Saccharomyces cerevisiae S288C: one gene and its partner. The gene in region 2 interacts genetically with the main gene of each other region. Each region holds a gene or a part of one and is shown on either strand. Other genes may lie near its edges.

Region 1 (10,892 bases), on a different chromosome or scaffold from region 2:
CTCAACTGTCGATGATGCCTGCTAAACTGCAGCTTGACGTACTGCGGACCCTGCAGTCCAGCGCTCGTCATGGAACGCAAACGCTGAAAAACTCCAACTTTCTCGAGCGCTTCCACAAAGACCGTATCGTCTTTTGCCTCCCATTCTTCCCGGCACTTTTTCTCGTCCCAGTTCAAAAAGTACTGCAGCACCTCTGTCTTCGATTCACGCAAGTTGCTCCATACTTTATAATACAACTCTTTGATCTGCCTTCCAGACATGCGGAAAACTTGGCTCCCTTGCTTGCCTCTTGTCGAATCCAATACACTAATTGTTTCTCTTCTTCTAGTAATGGCCAGGTACCAAGCATAATTTCTCTGTATCTGAGAGTAGATCTCTCCCCTTTTTACGCTAAAAAATTTCAAATACCCTACAGGGTCCCCATGATATGGCTCGATGTCTTCCAAGTATTCTTTGTATTCCTCGTCATTTCGCAGCATTCTCTCCACAGCTAGTGCTTCCCAAGCCATCCTCCGATACGATACTTTCTGGCCAGCCCAACAGACACAGAGCTCGAACATCTTTTGACAGCCCTTGCATAATCCGTATTGTGTGAATACTCCCTCTGGGCAGAAGTATACGTCAATACCATAGAGGAAAAGATGTTTAATTTCGTCAGACCGAAATCCAAGAAACTGTAAGACATTCATATTCTCGGAAGTATTGGGAAATTGTGCTTTCAGTTTCTTTCTCTCTAGCAAAACCATTTGACTCCCTTTCCGCTTATACGACTCTTTGTTAATGTCGGTGACTGGATGGAATCTATTATCCTCAGCATTGCCATCTTTATTGGCGTCCTCCTTGGCACTAGCGTTGGTGCTGGCAGTGGTAGTAGCATTAGTCCTGACGTTGATGCTGGCAGTGGTAGTCGCACTAGTCCTGACGTTGATGCTGGCAGTGGTAGTCGCATTAGTGCTGGAGTTGGTACTTTCAGTGGTAGTAGCACTAGTCCTGACGTTGATGCTGGCAGTGGTAGTAGCACTAGTCCTGACGTTGGTGCTGGCAGTGGTAGTAGCATTAGTGCTGGAGTTGGTAGTCGCATTGGTACTGGCATTGGTAGTCGCATTGGTACTGGCATTGGTACTGGCATTGGTAGTCGCATTAGTACTAGCATTGGTAGTCGCATTAGTCCTGACGTTGGTACTAGCAGTGGTAATCGCATTAGTACTGGCGTTAGTACTGGCATTAGCACTACCATGAATGCACGTGTCGCTGTCCTCATCACTGCTGCAATACTTTCTGCACCTGTCACTGCTATTGCTCTCCTGGAAGCTAGACGGTAACGCAACGATCGACATGGAAGCTGTCGCCTGTTTTTCAGCCAATCTGTCCATTCTTTCTATCAGTTCCACTGTGTCAGCAGACACAGCATCCAACATGCTGGCCCTTTTTTCCTTTCTTTGATTCAAGTCCATAGAACTCGCGTACCTGTTCGGTTATACAGCCTTCCTTAATTGGTGGTAATTCACCCTTACGATTCCTTGCCGCCCAACTGTTTTTTCTAGATAATAGATAACAGAGGCCCCCATCTCTTAGTCTCCCTACACCTTGAATGAGCTCAATAATATTAAGTCTATTATCAAGCATGATCACCATCATCAATTGCTTAATGTCAATTCCTTCAGTCACTAATTTCGTTCCGATGAGAACTTGCATGCTACCGTCAGTGACAAACTCCTTTGTGCGAGACACCTTTTCTGCAGCACCCAGCTTCCCGTGTATCCATACCACCCTAAAATACTTTCTCCAAGAGCAGGCCAATTCTTCCACTTCGTTGGTTGTGCTTGCAACTACAATGGCCTTCGACTCTGGTTCAATTTCAAAGAGGGCTAAAAGAAGCTTCAGTGCTTCTTCGGGCTGTGATTCCACTTTCTTCCAAATTTTATGAACATGCCCTAAAGGCACCTCGGATTTCTCCTTGATTAGATTAAACATCCGTGTTGGATAGCTGGATAGACCTCTGCTGAGATCTTCCGACCGTTTGAGCTCGTTGATGTCCATCGACTTCTTGGCCAGTCCCGTAAGCCCAATACGCTGCAACGCAGCATCAGCTACAGCCTCAGGGGCTGTGCCGCTCAAAAAGATTGCTTTCTCAAAAGCGTCAAAATCAAGGTTAGTTATGCCCCCAAATTGCGACTGCCGGTAGACCTCCGTTTCAAAGTTGTGAAACTCATCTACAATGAGGTAACCCAATTTTACGTTGTTGGTCCTAAAGGTGCACTCAACAATATTCTCCCACGCAGCTATCCTGTCTGTGAAATTAGTGCTAGCAAGATCATCGTAGATCCCCACGTATAAATCAGTAACGCCATCGTAACCTTCTTCAATAAAGTTTCTTACAGGGGCCACATTCAAGCAACCGCGTCGGCCCAACCTGATCATGCAATTAGCAAGCAACACTGTGTACGGTACAAACAGAAACGACACATATTTCACGTCGCCCTTAGACGCCAGTGCTATCAAGGGGAGATGAAATAACTCCGTCTTACCATAGCCCGGTGGGGCCTGTACTGCCACAGAGGGTGTGTCTGCCATGTATATTTCATGACATAAGCGCAACTGATGCAAGTCCCTGAATTCAAAGGAGCTGCCAAAGAGTTTCTGGCCTGCGACGAGGATATCGTTTGTACTCTTGGGCTCTCGGGGCCTTTTTCGCGTTACTCTTGAAATTTTTTGATCATGATCTGAACTCGCCGCCTCACCTGCCACTACGTCTTCCGCATTCCGAGTACTAGAGAATGAACAATGGTAGTCGCTTTCAAGGCCTAACCATTGAATCCAGCGCTCGGAAGTGAGTCCGTCAAGCGTCTTTAGTCGAGGCTCCGATGAACCGTTCTTGTTGTATCGTCGACGTATACGTTGCGCTGTAGCTCTGGATAACGGTAAGCGTATCACCGTAAGCTCGTCAATTATTTTTGAGAGCCGCGGTCATTTTGTTAGTATCTCTTCTCAACTTGGGCAGCACACACGCAAAACATCACCCAATCGGTCCTTTTTGTTCATCATATCGTTACATATCTGTGAAAAGTACTTTATCTCAATGGGTTTACGTGGGCATAGATCACGCTTCAGCCGCTCTGTGTCGACTTTCTTTTCGCCAGGTAAACTTGCTTGGTATGCAGAAAAAATCGATAGCTCATCTACGTGTAGTAACAAAAACATGTGGGGTGCCAAATTGTACCCATATTTCCTTATGGTGCTTTTCTGAAGACTCCTTACAATAGGTGCGCCAGAAACAAAGTCAGTGAAAGTACGCATCGTAGAGCTGTCGTTCGGCCTGGCACTCGCTATTTCGTGACAACGTTCCAGGACACGGAAAACTCAACTCATTATAGTATCCTCTGTTGAGGTAAAAAAGAGAAAGGGTATCGTAATCCTTTCTATTGAATTTCAAAGTATGCACTTGAAACAACGTGTAGACCATCAAGTTGATTTTCTTGGGAATAAGATACTTTGAAGGGATTGGTCCGCCCTGGAAATCTGGTTCGTCTTCAACAAATGTCAGGAACTTTTGTACATTTTTCCCGACCATGACGGAAATGACAATTTTTTCAAAAGACCTTTTCCTATTCATTGCACCAGTTCTGAATTTTACCACTTTGATTAGGCCAGACTTTTCGTCTTCGTAGAATGACCGCACTTCCGTGGGGATCGATTCAAATAAAGTTATTGAGGGACAATGTACCAAGTCGTTTTTGTTATTTAGAGCCGACTCAAACTCGTCAAAGTTTGCTTTTTCAAACTTACGCCTATCGGAAACTTTCATTTTATTTTTGTAAGTTTCGAAATTAACAATAGTATGTTGATTGTTATGCTTTTTGACAAGAAATCCATCAATATAAACAAAAGATTGTCCAGTTTCCGTCTTATCATCATCTAAGAATGTAATAATTAAGCTATTGAGAAGATGCAGAATCTGCGCTATGCAGGTGCAAATCTCCAGCAGCAGCAAAGAAAATTCAGTTAATAAGAAATCTCACTAAGATAAGCGACTGTCTGTCCCCTTCAAGCACAACATAGAAAACAGAAGGATGTCTCATTCATCGCTTGATTTCCGGCCTGCAAAAATAAAGTAGTCGGTACGCACTTTCGTTTTCAATTTCCATGGTGCACAGTATCTTAACTATCTGCTTAGTCGAGGAGAACCAGGATTCGTGGATATTCTCTTGGATACTTCAAACATGGACCTACGCTTAGCCTGCGCTTAGCCTACAACTTCTTCCGCTCTCGAAAAGACCAATATAATAGAAAGTTATAAATTACATTTCCTTATTAGGTATACGACCTCGCGCTTCGAAGTAGAGGAGCCCTTTTTGGCGTACCTACATATGGCGCGTCAGACAGACAAACTTCCCCCAAAAATGTATTACCCCGCCGAATAAGAAAACAGACCCATTCACCCACGACGTATCAAGTTACTTCCTTGGTGCAATGTCCCACTATAAAAAAATTCCTTGACGCTAGATCGTTGGACTAAAATCTGCGTCCCAATCGCCTAAACAGGAAATATTGCCTATTTTCGTACAAGGTTACTTCCTAGATGCTATATGTCCCTACGGCCTTGTCTAACACCATCCAGCATGCAATACAGTGACATATATATACCCACACACCCACACACACCACACCCACACACCCACACCCACACACCACACCCACACCACACCCACACACCACACCCACACCACACCACACCCACACCACACCCACCACACCCACACCCACACACCACACCCACACCCTAATACTACCTCAACCCTACCCTAATCCAACCCTTCCATCCTGTCTCTCAACTTACCCTCCATTACCCTGCCTCCCCACTCGTTACCCTGCCTCCCCACCACCAACCCACAAATCCACCATAACAGTTACCCTCCAATTACCCATATCCAACCTCACTGCCACTTACCCTGCCATTACCCTACCATCCACCATGTCCTACTCACTGTACTGTTGTTCTACCCTCCATATTGAAACGTTAACAAATGATCGTAAACAATGCACACATACTTACCCTGCCAATACCCTACCATGCCCCATCTGTCATACTCACCATCACTTGTATACTGATACGGCATACGCACACGGATGCTACAATAGTATATACTATCTCAACTTACCCTACTTTCACATTCCACTCCATGGCCCATCTCTCACTTCATGAGTACAAATGCACCCACATCATTATGCACGGCACTTGCCTCAGCGGTCTATACCCTGTGCCATTTACGCATAACTCCCACTATTATCCACATTTTAATATTTATATCTTATTCCGCGGCCCCAAATATTGTATAAATGCCCTTAATACATACGTTATACCTCTTTTTCACCGTATACTAACCACTCAATTTATATACACTTATGCCAATATTACAAAAAAATCACCACTAAAATCACCTAAACATAAAAATATTCTATCCTTCAACAATAATACATAAACACACTCAATTGCGTATCAATACCACCATGAGGTCATTAACTTAAATGTTCCTTAATACCGTCATACCACTATGCTCTATTCCATATATTGTAATATAACTGTACTCTATAGTCATACAGACGCTTTTACTTCACCCTATCTTCTCATACTATTGTCATAGAATCGCACACTGACGCATGATTAAAACGAATAATTTTTACTATAAGGCCTCCCATCCGTGCTCTATCCTTTTGTTTGAAACATTTATATACAGAATCTCAAAGCAAGCGGGAGAAGTAGTAATTACCCAGAGGTCATGCATGATCTTAGCACCACCGTACCTCTAAGTTTTGCTTTGAGCCTTTTTACAGTGACATCAAACATAAGGAGAAAAAATGGTATTGAAAGGTTATCAATATAGGGAAATAAATTGGTTCTATGAATCTTCATGTAAGATACTCGTAGGACAGACTCTTTCCTGTGTAAATATTTGTGACAGCTACGTCTATTTTCTATTAGATATTTACACATTTTTGTCACAGGCAATCTACGCTTAAAATATACGTTTCATTTTGGGTAACAACTGCTGTGCGAACAGTGACATTGCTGGTCGCACCTTAAATGTAAACCAAAGTTACGGCACACCGTGATGTACCCTCATACAAAGCTTTGTAAAAGTATTATTACGATTATCGAGTAACTTAGATAGAAAACCGGAAATGAAATGGACTCCCTTTTCGAATAGTAGAGTTTCTGTGCCTAAAATAGCCCAACATTGTTGCCCTTTTTCTATCACGAGGTTACTGAGCCATTGCATGAACGCGCGCGCCTCGGCGGCTTTTTTTTCTACTCTATAAAAGCGAAAAGCCAGAAGTTACTATCTCGAATAAAAAACCCCTCGAACTGCCATCTCATTACCGAAAATGAAAGAAAATGAACTTAAAAATGAGAAAAGTGTAGATGTATTATCTTTCAAACAGCTCGAATCTCAAAAGATTGTTCTACCTCAAGATCTTTTCAGAAGCAGCTTTACCTGGTTTTGTTATGAAATTTACAAGTCCTTAGCGTTTCGCATCTGGATGCTATTATGGCTACCACTTAGCGTCTGGTGGAAGCTTTCCAACAATTGGATTTACCCGCTTATGGTTTCACTTCTTGTCCTGTTTTGGGGACCAGTATTTGTTCTTGTTATTTTTAGACTTTCTCGTAAACGTTCCTTATCGAAACAACTCACTCAGTTTTGCAAAGAGATTACTAAAAGCACACCAAGTTCGGATCCTCATGATTGGGAAGTTGTTGCAGCAAATCTAAATTCGTACTTATATGAAAATAAGGCTTGGAATATTAGGTACTTTTTCTTCAATGCCATGGGCTGCCAAGAAGCGTTCAGAACAACCCTTCTCGAACCCTTCTCTTTGAAAAAAGACGAAGCTGCCAAGGTTAAGTCATTTAAGGATTCCGTCCCTTACATTGAAGAAGCATTGGGAGTTTATTTTAGAGAAGTTGAAAAACAATGGAAGTTGTTTAATTCTGAGAAATCATGGAGCCCTGTTGGCCTGGAAGATGCTAAACTTCCCAAGGAAGCTTACCGATTTAAGCTTACTTGGTTTTTAAAGAGGATTTCCAATATTTTTATGTTGATACCATTCCTTAATTTTTTGTGCTGCATATATGTGTCACGGGGAATGTGCCTTCTATTACGCACCTTGTATCTCGGGTGGATTCTTTTCATGTTGGTACAAGGTTTCCAAAATATAAGGGTTTTGATTATGAGCATGGAACACAAGATGCAGTTCTTGTCGACTATTATAAATGAGCAAGAAAGTGGTGCGAATGGATGGGACGAAATTGCAAGGAAAATGAATAGGTACTTGTTTGAGAAAAAAGTCTGGAAGAATGAAGAGTTTTTCTTTGACGGGATTGACTGTGAATGGTTTTTTAGCCACTTCTTCTACCGCGTTCTATCTGCGAAGAAATCTATGCGGGCTCTATCATTGAATGTGGAACTATGGCCATATATTAAAGAAGCGCAATTATCCTGCAGTGAGGAGTCCTTAGCGTAAAGATAAATACAACTTTTTCAATTTATATATTTTGTAGTTTGTCAGCTGCGAATAACCAAAACGAGACTACTTTTTACGATTACAACCATTCTCTTTTTCCCTATTTCTCACTGGTTGACAGAAATCAGTGTGCTATCATCCTACCATATGCGCAAAACTTATTGTCTTTCTCCTCCTAGAGATGCTGTATTCCATGCATATTCTGAACGATGGGTTGGTGTTTTTATCAAGCAAGGTTAATCACATGGCGTGGCTTGCTCCACGCATCAGTAGAAAACGCATACCGCAGCGGAATCCTTAAATAATAAGTGATTTTACTGTTCATCAACTACAATCGGACTCTTTCACAATTACCCTTCTTGTTTTCCACATTTACTGTTAAATGAAGGGATGTACAGAAGGCTTAGGAAAACCTGTGCTGAATACTGGATGGACACTGCATTCCCACAGTGAAGCTTTTATAGATACACTGCCAGTTATTTTCGAACTTTCATCAAGTTGCTGAGTTTTAGTATCCCTTTGCCTTAGCTATATGTTTGAATGAGCAAAATATTTGCAATGTCTCTAGCTTTCTTGAAATATTGGTTTATATTGAGGGCTTGGTAAGATTTCAAATTTCATTTTGAAGTGCTCAGGAGAAAAATCATGCTCTTTTGATAATTTGGTGACTAAACATACATAAAACAGTTTAATTTTGGGTGGTAATGGCTGTGTGACTAGCTATAGAAAGAAAAAAATTAAAAAAAAAAAAAAAAATCAAGTAGTTCCTGCACTGCGACGTCCATTATAGCATTATAAATTGGTCCCTGATTTACGCATGCGATAAACTATTTTTAGCGCAGCCGCATATTATCCGAGAATAACTTCCGACATAAGAAAATTCGCAGAAAATAGATAAAAAAACTGCTCTTGGCATTCTTCACTTCCTCTATTACACACTGTGTCATACCACAATCATCTCACAGTATGTATTTGTATGTTTATACATGCTATAACGTAAAACAATGTAGAATATATATCTAAATACCTCACGGTTTTAGTTTAGTGCAGCCCACATACTACTTTTTTCCTTTTGTTTTTTTTTTTTATATTTCAAAGGTTAAACTCGCTTAGACTATGTCTATAATATAAAAAAAAAATAGCTCTATTCCGTTTCTTTTATTCTATTTGATATTTCCATCACACTTTCATCTTAATCACGGATGTATACTGATAATAGGGTTGACTGCGCCTGTACGGATTACAGTGCCCTCTTCAATTGGAAAATCCAAGCTTTCAAGATGGGTAACTGTTATTCAAAGGATCCTCTAAGATAAAACACAGATCGACAGATCCGAGAGTTGGCTTCTGTGCCTTGGGCTCAAATTCCTTTCCCACCTCATGCAAATTGATTTTTCTGACTCCAAAAAAAGACAGAGCCCTGCGATAGTTCCCGAATGTTGTAACATCAAAGCCAAGCACTCCTTTATAGAAGTCGCATGAACGTTGAATACTAGCAGCTGGTGAAACTACAGGGTCTAAACTAACTAGTATCCATATCTTTTTGAGAGCATTGAAAGTATACGGAGTACAAGCTGGGTTAGAAGGAATTTTTATCTTAACAGCAATGAAAATCAACTTTCTAGACTGAATCCCTCAAGAAAATTGCAAAAGACTAACTGATACTGGTTTAAAAGAGAAAGATGTCAAATATGCGGAGTTATACCATCAAACAACTTTGGACGGCCCCGAAACAAATGTCCGCAAAAAAGATCTTATTAAAGTGCATGGACACTATCATTTCTATAATACAAAATACTCCACCGCACAATAGTTTGTCGGGAAGTCATCAATCAATCTTGTACGAGCTTTACAAATAACTTTTTAGGATCGGTCCCCTCATAAAATTATATATAAATGGGTTAGTTTCCTTCTTCTTCTGTTAACATGAAGTTGCTTCGTACTGTTTTTTGCCTTGCTTCTCTTCAAAAGAATCAATCATGTCACAGTACGGATTTGTAAGAGTTCCTAGAGAGGTAGAAAAGGCCATTCCAGTGGTGAATGCACCTAGACCACGGGCCGTTGTTCCGCCTCCAAACAGTGAAACTGCTAGGCTTGTTCGGGAATATGCCGCTAAAGAATTGACTGCCCCCGTTCTAAACCACTCTTTGCGTGTTTTTCAATATAGTGTAGCTATCATAAGAGACCAATTTCCAGCATGGGACTTGGATCAGGAAGTTTTGTACGTCACCTGCTTACTTCATGATATTGCAACAACAGATAAGAATATGAGAGCCACGAAGATGTCATTTGAGTATTATGGTGGCATACTTTCAAGGGAGCTTGTATTTAATGCGACAGGTGGAAATCAGGACTATGCAGATGCAGTAACTGAGGCCATCATTCGTCACCAGGATTTGACTGGGACTGGCTACATTACCACCTTGGGGCTCATTCTGCAGATTGCTACTACGCTTGACAATGTCGGATCCAATACCGATCTGATTCATATCGATACAGTTAGTGCCATTAACGAGCAATTTCCAAGACTGCACTGGTTATCATGTTTTGCTACGGTGGTGGACACTGAAAACTCGAGAAAACCGTGGGGCCACACCAGTTCTTTGGGTGATGATTTTTCAAAGAAAGTCATATGCAATACATTTGGGTATAACTAAATAGGTAAGTTTCAATGAGGCGAGTTCAGAATGAACAGTGATGATCTCCTTTCTCCATAACTATACTATACGTCCCTTTTATTTACTGTAGTTTTTAAGAACAAATTCTCTGATGAACCAGTCGTGAAACCGTATATCGTTTTCTGCCAATTCCGGATGAAATGATGTCGCAAGAATATTGTTTTTTTGCTTAGCGGCAACAATTAGTTCTTGACCACCATTATCCTTCCCATCTAATTTGTACAGGACCTGCACATGTTCAGGATCCAGCACCTCTTCTATTACTGGGGCTCTTATAAAAGTAGCAGGAAAATCATTGCAGTGAGGAATAAAGTTTGAAAAGTCGCAAATCCGGGTAGAAGACTGAGCTTGTCTCCCAAATGCATTTCTTTTTACTTTAACCTTTAGTAAATTCAGCGTCTTGACCAGTTTTGCTTCGTTAGATAATTGTTGTGAAATATAAATCAAACCTGCACAAGTACCCCAGGTTACCTTGCTTGGGTTGTGTACGAATGCGTAGAGATCGTCGTAAAATCCTGTTCTTTCTGCAATAAGGGACATTGCAGTCGACTCTCCCCCAGGTATGATCAATGCATCACATTGAGCTAGTTGATTTTTATCCTTCACTGTCATCACAGATAGTTTTTTTTCATAGAAATCCCTGTTTTCGACGATGCATTTTTCTACGTGTCGCACATGTTCAATGAACGC
Region 2 (5,811 bases):
AAATATTCAAAGTTACAAAAGGTACTTGAAGGATACCAAAGTTTGTAATTGTATTGCACTAATTTGTTGAGAGCACTATAGAAATGTCTGATTTAGATGAGGATTTATTAGCCTTGGCTGGTGCCGATGAATCCGAAGAAGAAGATCAAGTTTTGACAACTACATCTGCCAAAAGGGCAAAAAACAACGACCAATCTCTTTCCAAGAAAAGGAGAATTGAAGTCGGCAGTGTAGAGGATGATGATGAGGAGGACGATTATAACCCTTACTCTGTAGGAAATGCAGACTACGGTTCCGAAGAAGAAGAAGAAGCTAATCCTTTTCCCTTGGAAGGAAAGTACAAGGATGAGAGCGACAGAGAGCACCTGGAATCCTTACCTGAAATGGAACGTGAGACTCTATTATTTGAAAGATCTCAAATCATGCAGAAGTACCAGGAGAGGAAACTTTTTAGAGCACGTGGAAGAGATATGAAGGAACAACAACAGAGAGCCAAGAACGACGAAGATTCCAGAAAGACCAGAGCTTCCACTAGATCAACCCATGCTACTGGGCATTCTGATATCAAGGCTTCAAAACTTTCGCAATTAAAGAAACAAAGAGCGAGGAAAAACCGTCACTACAGCGATAATGAAGACGAAGACGATGAGGAAGATTACAGGGAAGAAGACTACAAGGACGATGAAGGGAGTGAATACGGGGATGATGAAGAATACAATCCTTTTGATAGAAGGGATACATACGACAAAAGAGAAGAAGTGGAGTGGGCTGAAGAGGAGGACGAGCAAGACAGAGAGCCTGAGATTTCTGATTTCAACAAACTAAGGATCGGTCGTTCATTTGTCGCAAAATTTTGTTTTTATCCCGGGTTTGAAGATGCAGTCAAAGGTTGTTATGGGAGAGTCAATGTTGGCACAGATAAACGTACCGGCAAAACTTCTTACCGTATGGTGAGAATTGAGAGAGTTTTCTTGCAAAAACCTTACAATATGGGTAAGTTCTATACTAACCAGTATTTCGGTGTTACCCAAGGTAAAGACAGAAAGGTTTTTCAAATGAATTATTTTAGTGATGGTTTGTTTGCCGAAGACGAATACCAAAGGTATCTCAGGGCATTGGATAATTCGCAAATGATTAAACCTTCTTTACATTCTTTGAGTAACAAAACGAAAGAGGTTATGGATTTTGTCAATACACCATTGACTGATAAAACTACAGATGAGGTTGTTCGCCATAGGATGCAATTCAATAAAAAACTATCTGGTACGAATGCAGTCTTGGAGAAAACTGTATTGAGAGAAAAATTGCAATATGCCAAGGAGACTAATAATGAAAAGGACATTGCAAAATACTCTGCTCAGTTAAGAAACTTTGAGAAACGAATGTCTGTATACGAGAAGCATCATGAAAATGACCAATCTGACATTAAAAAACTAGGCGAGTTGACCTCTAAGAATAGAAAATTGAATATGAGTAACATCAGAAATGCAGAGCATGTGAAAAAAGAAGACAGTAATAACTTTGATTCAAAGAGCGATCCTTTCAGCAGGCTAAAAACCAGGACCAAAGTTTACTATCAGGAGATACAAAAGGAAGAAAACGCAAAAGCTAAAGAAATTGCACAACAAGAGAAGCTACAAGAAGATAAAGATGCTAAAGATAAGCGTGAGAAAGAGCTACTTGTGGCACAATTCAGGCGCCTTGGTGGGTTGGAGCGCATGGTTGGTGAATTGGATATCAAATTTGACCTTAAGTTTTAGTAGGCAGGACAATTTCAGTGTTTGTAAAAATATATTTATATTTATATATTTAAATATACTAAATAAAAATAATACTATCATCGTTGTGATGCAAAAAAAAAAAAAAATGAACAGAAAATAATAGTGATGTGAATGGTTTCGTGCCAAGGAACAAGGCCATGCATAGTAAACCTTCTCACTATGCCAAGTGAGGATAAATTGGGTGAAGAGATATCAACGAGGGTGATTAATGAGTATTCAAAACTAAAATCTGCCTGCAGACCAATAATTAGGCCTTCAGGTATCAGAGAGTGGACAATATTGGCAGGTGTTGCAGCTATTAACAGAGATGGCGGTGCGAATAAGATAGAGATACTTTCCATAGCTACTGGTGTGAAGGCTTTGCCAGATTCAGAACTACAAAGAAGTGAGGGGAAGATTCTGCATGACTGTCATGCAGAAATACTGGCATTACGAGGTGCTAATACAGTTTTATTAAACCGTATTCAAAACTATAATCCATCAAGTGGTGATAAATTCATTCAACATAATGACGAGATACCTGCCAGATTCAATTTAAAGGAAAACTGGGAGTTGGCATTGTACATCTCGAGATTGCCCTGTGGTGATGCCAGCATGAGTTTCCTGAATGATAATTGCAAAAATGATGATTTCATCAAAATAGAAGATAGCGACGAATTTCAATACGTCGACCGTAGTGTGAAAACAATATTGAGGGGACGCTTGAATTTCAATAGAAGAAATGTCGTTAGGACTAAACCAGGAAGATATGATTCCAATATCACTTTATCTAAATCCTGTTCTGATAAATTATTAATGAAACAACGGTCGTCGGTACTGAATTGTTTAAATTATGAACTCTTTGAAAAACCTGTATTTTTAAAGTACATTGTGATTCCTAATTTAGAAGATGAAACGAAACATCATCTAGAGCAATCATTTCACACTCGTCTACCGAATCTAGATAATGAAATTAAATTCCTGAATTGCCTCAAACCATTTTATGATGATAAATTGGATGAGGAGGATGTTCCTGGTCTAATGTGTAGTGTCAAGCTCTTTATGGATGACTTTAGCACCGAAGAAGCGATTCTTAATGGCGTGAGGAATGGATTTTATACCAAATCATCGAAACCACTGAGGAAACACTGTCAATCGCAAGTAAGCCGGTTTGCACAATGGGAACTATTCAAAAAAATAAGACCAGAGTATGAAGGAATAAGCTATTTGGAATTTAAATCTCGTCAAAAAAAGAGAAGCCAGTTAATTATCGCAATAAAGAACATTTTATCTCCCGATGGTTGGATACCCACCAGAACGGATGATGTGAAGTAATATATATATATATTGTTGAATATGCGTATATGCACACTTTTTTGTTAGTGCACCTTAAAGAAATATATACACAGTAGAAATATCTATATATCCAGAGTTCATCTATCTTTCCCTCTCTGTGGTATTATCATCACATATTTTATCATTTTTTATCATCTTCTTCGTCATCGTCAGATGGACCATCATCTATCATTTCCCCATCCTCATTGTTATCACCTGATCCATTGGTACTATCAATCGCTAACTCGGCACCCTGCAAAAGGTCAATTAATTCATCCAGTTCATCACCATGAACCAAATCAACTGGCTTTTGATTGTTATAGTTTCTCACCCTAGGATCCGCACCCACTTCAATTAAGTTTCTAGCAATAAAAGTTCCATGCTCAGGCTCCTCTTGACTGTATCTGACAGTAACATGTAACGGAGTGTCGCCATCAACGTCGTTTTGTGGGTCTATTTCGATTTCACCGTCTTGATCGAGAATCTTGTCGAGAACTTCCCAGGATCCATACTTACAACATAAATGTAACGCTGTATTCCCCAGTGGTTCTTTGGATTCGTTAATTAGCTTTGCAATCTTCTCAGGATCATTATCTAAGCTATCAAATACGGTCTCCAAAAGATCCAGATTGTTTCTTCTAGCTGCATCCAGCAATTGTTCACTTAAAGAAGCACCTTCAGTATTCATGATCAAAAAAAGAAACTAATTTATTTTGTGAAAAACTTCGACTTCTTTCACTTATGACTTTTTTCACTGGGATTCAGAAACTACCTCACAGGACCCCTATATAATGAATTTATTGTCAACCTTTCTATCAACGCGTTATACCTTGGGTATACTAGGAAAAAAAAAAAAAGATACATATGGATGTATATGACCTGCATACACGATCCGAAAATCTTGAACGTAATTGTAACACTATCAACACATTAAAATGGATATTAATGAATTGATAATAGGTGCTCAATCAGCTGATAAACACACTAGAGAAGTTGCGGAAACGCAATTGTTACAGTGGTGTGATTCCGATGCATCTCAAGTGTTTAAAGCGCTGGCAAACGTTGCCTTACAGCACGAAGCTTCTCTAGAATCGAGACAGTTTGCTTTATTGTCGTTAAGAAAATTGATCACCATGTATTGGAGTCCAGGATTTGAATCATACCGTTCTACATCGAACGTCGAAATAGATGTTAAAGATTTTATCCGAGAAGTGCTACTGAAATTATGCTTAAATGACAATGAAAATACCAAAATAAAAAATGGTGCATCTTACTGTATTGTTCAGATATCTGCGGTTGATTTTCCTGATCAATGGCCGCAGCTTTTAACAGTTATTTATGATGCTATCTCTCATCAGCATTCATTAAATGCGATGTCTTTATTGAATGAAATTTACGATGATGTCGTATCTGAAGAAATGTTCTTTGAAGGCGGAATTGGCTTGGCGACAATGGAGATCGTTTTCAAAGTACTCAATACAGAAACTTCTACTTTGATAGCCAAAATTGCTGCTTTGAAGCTACTTAAAGCATGTCTTCTACAAATGAGCTCCCATAATGAGTATGATGAGGCGTCACGAAAAAGTTTTGTCTCCCAATGTTTAGCTACTTCTTTACAGATATTGGGACAATTGTTGACTTTGAATTTTGGAAACGTAGATGTTATTTCTCAGTTGAAATTTAAATCCATTATATACGAGAATTTGGTTTTTATTAAAAATGATTTCTCTAGAAAGCATTTCTCAAGTGAATTACAAAAACAGTTCAAAATAATGGCAATCCAAGATCTGGAAAACGTTACCCATATAAATGCAAATGTCGAAACTACTGAAAGTGAACCCCTTTTAGAAACAGTTCATGATTGTTCTATTTATATTGTAGAATTTTTGACTAGTGTTTGCACTTTGCAATTTAGTGTTGAAGAGATGAACAAAATTATAACATCTTTAACCATTCTTTGTCAGCTAAGTTCTGAGACAAGAGAGATATGGACAAGCGATTTCAATACATTTGTATCGAAGGAAACAGGCCTAGCAGCATCATATAATGTTAGAGATCAAGCCAATGAATTTTTTACTTCATTACCCAATCCTCAACTTTCCCTAATTTTCAAAGTTGTTTCCAACGATATAGAACACAGCACGTGTAATTATTCAACTTTAGAATCTTTACTATATCTCTTACAGTGTATTTTGCTTAATGATGATGAGATAACTGGTGAAAATATCGATCAATCTTTGCAAATTTTAATAAAAACGTTAGAAAATATCTTAGTATCACAAGAAATACCAGAATTAATATTGGCGCGTGCAATTTTGACTATTCCCAGAGTACTAGACAAATTTATAGATGCATTACCTGATATCAAACCCTTGACATCTGCATTCTTGGCAAAAAGTCTTAATTTGGCGCTAAAATCTGATAAAGAGCTCATTAAATCCGCAACATTAATAGCATTTACGTACTATTGTTATTTTGCCGAACTAGATTCAGTCCTTGGACCAGAGGTCTGCTCAGAAACCCAGGAAAAAGTAATTCGAATAATCAACCAGGTTAGTAGTGATGCCGAAGAGGACACTAATGGGGCTTTAATGGAAGTATTAAGTCAAGTCATTAGCTACAATCCGAAAGAACCTCATTCAAGAAAGGAAATTTTACAGGCTGAATTTCATCTTGTGTTCACGATCTCATCCGAGGATCCAGCAAATGTACAGGT

Evidence for each region.
Region 1: mutations in TAD1 (region 2) and YFL064C together harm fitness more than expected from each alone (negative genetic interaction), as found in Saccharomyces cerevisiae (one large-scale study listed by BioGRID).

What each region holds. Positions count from the first base shown.
Region 1 is NC_001138.5:42-10,933, forward strand, and holds YFL064C (uncharacterized protein), read right to left. Parts: upstream 3,806-10,892; coding exon 3,281-3,805; downstream 1-3,280. Other genes in the region: YFL068W (uncharacterized protein), read left to right, coding at 12-494; YFL067W (uncharacterized protein), read left to right, coding at 795-1,322; YFL066C (Y' element ATP-dependent helicase), read right to left, coding at 1,396-2,574; YFL065C (uncharacterized protein), read right to left, coding at 2,989-3,297; COS4 (Cos4p), read left to right, coding at 6,385-7,524; DDI3 (cyanamide hydratase), read left to right, coding at 9,504-10,181; SNO3 (putative pyridoxal 5'-phosphate synthase), read right to left, coding at 10,260-10,892.
Region 2 is NC_001139.9:41,415-47,225, forward strand, and holds TAD1 (tRNA-specific adenosine deaminase), read left to right. Parts: upstream 1-1,892; coding exon 1,893-3,095; downstream 3,096-5,811. Other genes in the region: RTF1 (RNA polymerase-associated protein), read left to right, coding at 84-1,760; ankyrin repeat-containing protein ANK1, read right to left, coding at 3,238-3,783; karyopherin KAP114, read left to right, coding at 4,031-5,811. UniProt on the Saccharomyces cerevisiae protein: Deaminates adenosine-37 to inosine in tRNA-Ala.